Linked DNA regions of Oryzias latipes. The protein of the gene in region 2 interacts with the protein of the main gene of each other region in a biochemical or structural test. Links are inferred from orthologs where the notes say so. Each region holds a gene or a part of one and is shown on either strand. Other genes may lie near its edges.

Region 1 (2,962 bases), on a different chromosome or scaffold from region 2:
GCAATGACAAATTTATTAATAGCTAACATAATAGCTAAGGTGTTAAACACTTGGAAAAGAGTAGGAGTTTGCATGCATAATTATCAGTGACAAAACTAAGTCCTATTTAAAGGCGAGGGGATGGACATGGTGGCAGAATGTTTTGGACCTCATCCTGTGGGGCGATGACCCTTTTTCAGTTTTGTCTAGGGTTCATTCTTTGGCATCCTCTGCTTGAAAAGAGCTGCAGCTTTTCCAGCAAAGGGGAGTTAATGCTGATAACAGTGTTGTCAGGTGTGATGGATGACATCAGTTCCATGATTAGGTAAAAAAATCAAAAATAAAAAAATACACCGTCACCTCAAAGAAATCAAGCTCAAACTGTTGGGCTAACCCATCTCAGCAACTGGCACTAAACTGAGAGCTTACTGGTTTTCCAGAAAAAAAGAACAGGAAAATTTAGGTCGGGTTTAGTATTTAATGAAATGGAGGCTAATAATTTAGTGTAATGTACAAAAATGTATTACTTAAACTGCTTATTATTAAGTTGTTTTTTCTGTTTTGAAAAGGGGCATTTATTCACATGAGTATACACTTTGTCTTGGACTTCTTTTTCTTCTTTTTGCCCTCCTTGCTCATCTTCTCCTTATGCTTCCGGATTTCTCTGACTAATGTATAAAAGGCATCATCCACGCCCTGGGAAATAAGGCAAAAAAAAAAAAAAACAAGCAAATAAATGTACAAAGTTAGAGTTGGAAAGTTACAGGTCATTTAAAAATGCACATTTAACCAAGACATTAAGGATCTGAAATGATGTTTTAACCAGTTGCACAAATTCAAGTGGCTAAAACATGGTAGATTAGTCTAAGCAATGACATATCTTTCATCTTAGAATAAAGTAAACAGACAATTTTATTTTTTTTTAAACAGAAAAAATACTTTCAAACCATTTTTTTTCAGTGCTACCGCTTTTTTTTTTTTTTTTTAAGTGGGAATTTCTTCAGACTGGAGACATTAGACGAGCCTTTTATTCTCGCGCTGGGGTGAAGAAAAGGCTTTGTGCTATAATACAGCTCGTGCCTGTTGATGCCACACTGACGCAATTGTCTGAGAGCTCCAACAGTTTGTGTAGTTCAAGAAATGCGACAATAATCTGCAAAAAGCTGTTGAGTAAAGAGCCTTGGGACACTTTATGTTGTGAAGACAACCAGAGAATGCAGAACAGACATGGAGAGATTCGTATAGGCAAAACACACACAGCCTTTGTGGTCAGAATTTTTGCTGTTTTTTTGCTTTTTTATTTTTTTTAAAGACATGAATATTTCAGCATGATTTAGTCCCACATTCACCATTAAATTTTTTTTTTTTTTTAAAAGAACCTACAGCCGCCCAAGATGGCTTAGCAACCCAAAACCATGTACACAAGTTTCTTTCAGCACAGAAGGATATTTTCACACTGGTAGTTTTCCCTGAATCTGGTAAAAACGTGACCAAACACTTGATTGGATCGATTCCTTTTTTAGGCCAGGAGTCCTTTAGGAGGTCGTTTTACTGCTGAAACAAGGACTGACAAATGCTCCTCCATGGGGAAGGGATAAGGCAAAAGAAACCCATGAAAAAGAGTTCAGACATCCATGCAGAAGCACACCAGCTGCGCAAATCAAACTTCCCCAAACTTGATGGATGAACCCAGTGTGAAAATGACCTTAGACAATAATCCACCACAACACATGGAGACTGAAAATAGAAGAAATCAAAACACGTCAGGCTCGTGTTAGAACCTCACCACAGTCCCAATAAAAGCCAGCAGGTTAGCTTTGACACCACATGAAGCACCAGCTTTGGCTCAGTGTCTTCCTCCATCCCTCGTCCGCCGTTCCCCCCAACAACACACAGAGCTGATGGGTGCGCGGCTGCGTACACTTACCCCTCTCACATCACAACACACTTTTTAAGGTTGACACAGCGTGGAGTCTTTTCTTCCTTGCTGAGCTTACTGAGCCGGTACTGCCTGATCTCCCGTACCAGAGTGTAAAAGGCATCTTCCACTCTCTGCGGTATAAGACACAACTCTCCTCAATGGCGAGGAATGTAGGAGCACATTCTTCATGGTGTCAGAAATTTTAAGATAAACATGGGGATACTCCTGAAATGCCGGATTTGTCTTCTCTCCAAACTCTTAAAAACTCAAAGAGTTTGATTGGATGAAAACTGAGCAGCAGCTTCTGCAGGCTTGGAAATGAGTCTAGTTTCCTCCCCATAAAACGTAAAAAAATGAAATATATAAAACCTAATTAACTAACTATTTTCTATTCCTGGAGCTTTTGCAGAGGAGACTGCAGAGCTGTTCTTAAGCAAAATAATGACTGAAGTAAAAGGGACTATGGAAATTGGATTTCTTCTTGTATTCCAAAACTGTTGAAAAGTATGGACATTTGTCCTGAGAACTCAAATAAATCAACACAATTTATTTAAACAATAATACTAAATAAATAACAGCAATGCAGGGCTGATGCTCCTCTCAGCAATAACCGTGTAGCTCTGTTCATATCGGTTGATTTAGAGGCAAAAAAATATGGGGAAAAAAAAATCCACAGCTCTGTGGGATTTGCCTTTTCACACAAAAGTAGAAGTATGCTGTCAAAAATAAATCAAACGATTGATATGAAGGGCCTTATAGTTTTAGAGATACCATAAAGAACTGACATGAACTCACAACAAAGACAACTTTATTCTATTGCTTAGCACTCCGAAAAACAGCTATTTTTCATCCTATTGAGTAACACTACACAGATCATGTCTTAAAGTGGATCAACAGACTGATATGGGAATGATGATGCAGTGTAACAGACAGCAGTTGGTTGATAAAGCAGTAAAATAAACACAGTTATTGTGTTTAGGCTGCAGTTGGCGCCTCCTTAAAAATCAGAGTCACATTCCAAGCCTGCAGGAGATTAACAACTGGGTGGAATATCACTTTATT
Region 2 (4,359 bases):
GATACGGGAAGTTCATAAGATCACCAAAGACATTTGGAGCCAAGTATATTGATCGGTCATTCAGACAAACCTGGAATCTGTACATCTCCCCACTGCGAACATTGTTGTCCACAGTTCCTCCAAAGATGTACATGGCATCCTGAATGACAGCAGCAGCATGAAAGAGCCTTCCACTGGGCATCTGAGGGGGGGTGAGACAGAAGAACAGATCAGATTTTGTAGGGGGGGGGGTTATTAAACAAATGTGCATAGTCAAGAAGGAAAGAACAGAAAGAGCATCAATTTCAGTGGAGAGTGTAAAGTACCCAGACAGCTTGAGGACTGTATGAATTAAAAAAATAGAGACAATAAAGTTCCTATAGGCTGACTGTCACAATATTAACCAAATTCAAAAAGACAGATTTGATGACTATTTTACATGTTAAAAGGAAATATCACAAAATTTTCAAAACACACGTTATCCCCCCCCCCCAACATATTTCAGCATAGAACGTGTACCTCACTGTCGAGGCTGGCTTGGATGACCTCCCAGGTCTGCGAGTCGACATCATAGCAGTGCAGCTCGTTGGGTAGAGTGTTGTCAGCAGCACCTCCAAAGACGTACAAGTGGCGATCAAAGGCGACCATAGTGTGTCCGTAGCGCCTCTGAGGAGGTGGAGGGGAGCCTCGCAGTAAATGTTCGGTGGGGATGCGTGTCCACCTGAAAGGACAGACTGATGAGCTGCTTTGTGTGAAAATAAAACGGAAATAACTGACCTGTTGGAGCTCACATGTGGCCCTTGAACTCAAACTGAAAGAGGTTGTTAGTGATTTTGGCTCCGCTCTGACCCGAAAACACAAACATCTTGTTCCTGCATACAGCCACAGGGAAGTTACAGCATGAAGGCGGGATCTCGCCACTTTGATCAATCTAATGGTCAAAAGGAAAAAACAAAAATGACTGAAGAATTCATTTAAAATTACTTTCTCTTTCAAATAAACAAGGGGAAAAAATGTAACTTGCCTCTTCCCAGCAGGCATGATCGCGATCCTGCAGACTGATGGTCCACATGTCGTTTAGTCTACACAAAATTGATAAATGTAAAAAAAGTGTCAGGGTTTTTTTGTTGTTTTTGTTGCTAAAAAGCAAACAAATGTGTTTGCACGTGCAAGAAAAAAAGATTTGGAAAAATAATAATAATAAAACATACCTGGCATTACCATCATACCCTGCAAATATCCACAATTTATCACTGTAGACTGTGGCTCCATGTGCAGACCTGGCCACTGGCAAGCTAAAACAAACAAACATGTTTCTCAAAGAATGACAATTCAGTGACTTTGTAGTAAGAAAATTGAATAAATTTACTACTGTCACGAATAAATGTGTTACCTTCCGTCCACTTTCCATTCGGTCCACTGTCCTGTGGCAAACTTGTATTCGAAAAGGTCATTTTTATTTTTCAGGTTTGAATTGGAGTAGATATCTCCAGTGTAGCCACCTAAAAAAATAGTGTTGGAGGTCAAATTAAGTGGATTAAATCAAGTGATGTCAATATATCTAACTAGAAACACAATAAACATACCAAAGACAAACATGCTGCTGCCATATACCACTGCAGAGTGGTGATATCTGGGTGCTGGCGGGGTTCCTGTAGTGAAAGCTCTGAGACACAAGTCATTGGAAGATGTTAAACCATATTTTCCACTCTGTTTTTGGATTTGTTTTAAGCTGCCTTACCGGCACCAGGAGCAGTCCTTCACATCAAACCGGAGCAAATCATTAAGCATGTTCTTCCTGATGGGTGGCACACAACAATATTACAGTCTGAGGGGGGCAAAACTCCTGACTTACTGAGGAGTGGAACTCACCCATTATCTCCTCCAAACACGTAGATGGCATCTCTGTATGCCACAACTGTGTGTTTGCTGCGCCTGTATAAAAAACACACAAGACTCAGAGGTAATTACAATGAAAAATATGTACAATTTGAAGGCTAGTTTCCTCTTAGGAGAGGTTTACCTTGCACCAACAAATTCATCACATGGTGGAAGTCTTCTCCATCGATGGACAGTCTCAAACGGGCCGAAGTTAAGCGTCAGATACTCGACGCTATCGGAGCAGCTGTGGTCAAAATCAACACTCGGGGCCACTTTCGTGGATTTGCAGGACATTTTCAGATTTTCACCAACTCATCCAACCGGGTCAGTTCTCATCTATATGCAGGGGCATCGTCTGCTCGCATCATTCTTTTAGATAGCGAAAAAGGTCAATTACTTAATCCTTAACTCAGAGGCTGCGTGTTTTTAATGGCGGAGAAAATAGACCAATGATTCGTTTAAAGCTATGGTCAGAGCTAACCTAGCTAGCAAGTTAGCTTCGGCCACTCATATGGTAGAAACAAGCAACTTTAGCACCGAAAGAAAGGTTACCGGAAAGCACAAAACGTTTCCATACACAACCCACCCAATCGATTCAACACCACGTCAAAGTACATATGTATATCACTGAATTGGAGCAAAAATAAAGGCTTAAAGTTTTCACTAGCAAAACATTGCTGTCAAAGCCACGCCCACGTGAAACGCAGGCTGCGTCCAAGCTCAACCCCAACCCCCGCTGGTTCACTAAGATGTACGATCCATCTTGCGCATTATATATTAAACAAAAAAATATATCTACATTTTAGGAAACTTACAGATTTCTGTTTTTATCTTTAGACCCACCAATAAGTCATTAAAACTGTCGCACAAAACTATTGCAAAGATTCACTCAAGGAGATTTATTATCATATTATTATTATTGTACTTGACAGGTGTTTTTTTTAAATCAAAAAAGACATGATTTGATTTCCAATCTCGTGTGTTTTATTCTCTTTTAAAATGTATTTTGTCTTTTCTTTCCTTCAGGTATAATAAGATTTAGGTTAATGGTGTTTTTTTCATAGTGTATTGTGTTAGTGATACGATTCCACCTATGATCAATTATTATTATTATATTTATTCAAACCAGTAATTTTGTGTGTGAAGGTATTCTTTTTTTTATTTTCTTTTTTTAAATTTAAATATAATCATTACAAGACTCTCACAGACACAACCACACAATGATGCAAGGCACATCTCTTCACAAAAACAAAGATTAAAAAAAAAAAAACAAGAATTTATACATATATAAAAAATATATAAAAAACTTTCTGCATAAGGCAATCAACAATCTGGACCCTAGATCTGTAACCATTCTGTAGCAGATTTACAAATGTCAACAATGAAAAGACTTGAATTGTGAATACATTTCAATGAGGATAAATACAATCTGACTTCATTTTTAAAACACAGGAAATTCGGCCGATCTTTTTTCCACTTTTTCTTATGAATATGATATTTTCCCAAAATCAGGAGGATGTTCGCTAACTGTTATAAAACAAAATATCTTTTTCTGTGAATTGTATGTTGTTAATTTTTTTGACTAGGCCAATTATGATAATCTTGCCAGAATCTTTGGATAAAAAAAAACAGGTGTCTGGTTGTATCTTGGACTGTATGACAGAAATCACACGGATGTACCTCAAAGCCAAATCTACTCCTCAATGTCTCTGCCGATGTGCAGTAATTGTTTATAATTTAATTATAATAATTTTGAACTGCATGTCTTTAATTTTGGGGACTTTTCTAAAGGTATTACTTTCTATCTGAAATAAAAGTTGCTTTAAGCGCCGCTCAGGCGGTACATGATGTGACCGACAGGAGGCACGAGGCGCCGCGAGCCGTCAGCAGAAGTGACATCACGTTTTTTTTTGTTTGTTTTTTTGTTTTTTGTTTTACAGGTCAAAAGAGATGTAATGTGGACCGAAACATCCATGTAGCTATAAACAAAACCGATCCCGTTGAGTTTTATTAGAGCCTGCATATAAACACATATAAACTAAGCAGCCAATGTGAATGTCCAAGCTATAGTTAATGCAAATCCAAAATAGTGCAGGTGCTGAAGAGTTAAACTTACCCCAACCGGCTTGTCATTCTCCATGGTTAAAAAACAAAACAGAATTGATCAGTTTATTCCTAAATCATTTTTAAACGAAATAGTTGCTTGCTGTAGCCTGTTGATTGAAGGCCTTGGGCCTGTTTCAGAAAGGAGGTTCGACCAACTCTGAGGTTGAACTTGAACTCTGAGTTGGTCAATCGGGAGATTAACAACTCTGAGTTTTCTGTTTCAGGGAAGCTGATCGGAGTTAGGTCAATCAACTCTGAGTGGACTGATTCAGAGGTGAGCGTGAGCACCGCGACTATAAGAAGCCATTATCAATGGAGCGCAGATATCACGAGTCACCATGGCAACCGTGAAAAAAAGAGGTCTGCGTATTTTTCGCCAGCTGAACTTGACGT

What was found.
Region 1: the proteins of lztr1 (region 2) and kras form a complex in vitro, tested with the Homo sapiens proteins (2 studies listed by BioGRID, with this or other methods). The link is inferred for Oryzias latipes from reciprocal best matches to the Homo sapiens genes LZTR1 and KRAS.

Annotation. Positions count from the first base shown.
Region 1 is NC_019864.2:21,729,362-21,732,323, reverse strand, and holds the end of kras (GTPase KRas), read right to left. Parts: intron 2,032-2,962; coding exon 1,912-2,031; 3' UTR 1,907-1,911; intron 676-1,906; downstream 1-675. UniProt on the Homo sapiens protein: Ras proteins bind GDP/GTP and possess intrinsic GTPase activity. Plays an important role in the regulation of cell proliferation.
Region 2 is NC_019867.2:13,323,536-13,327,894, reverse strand, and holds the start of lztr1 (leucine-zipper-like transcriptional regulator 1), read right to left. Parts: upstream 2,903-4,359; 5' UTR 2,155-2,902; coding exon 2,003-2,154; intron 1,915-2,002; coding exon 1,852-1,914; intron 1,778-1,851; coding exon 1,721-1,777; intron 1,646-1,720; coding exon 1,566-1,645; intron 1,482-1,565; coding exon 1,373-1,481; intron 1,275-1,372; coding exon 1,191-1,274; intron 1,062-1,190; coding exon 1,004-1,061; intron 911-1,003; coding exon 771-910; intron 701-770; coding exon 499-700; intron 182-498; coding exon 71-181; intron 1-70. UniProt on the Homo sapiens protein: Substrate-specific adapter of a BCR (BTB-CUL3-RBX1) E3 ubiquitin-protein ligase complex that mediates ubiquitination of Ras (K-Ras/KRAS, N-Ras/NRAS and H-Ras/HRAS).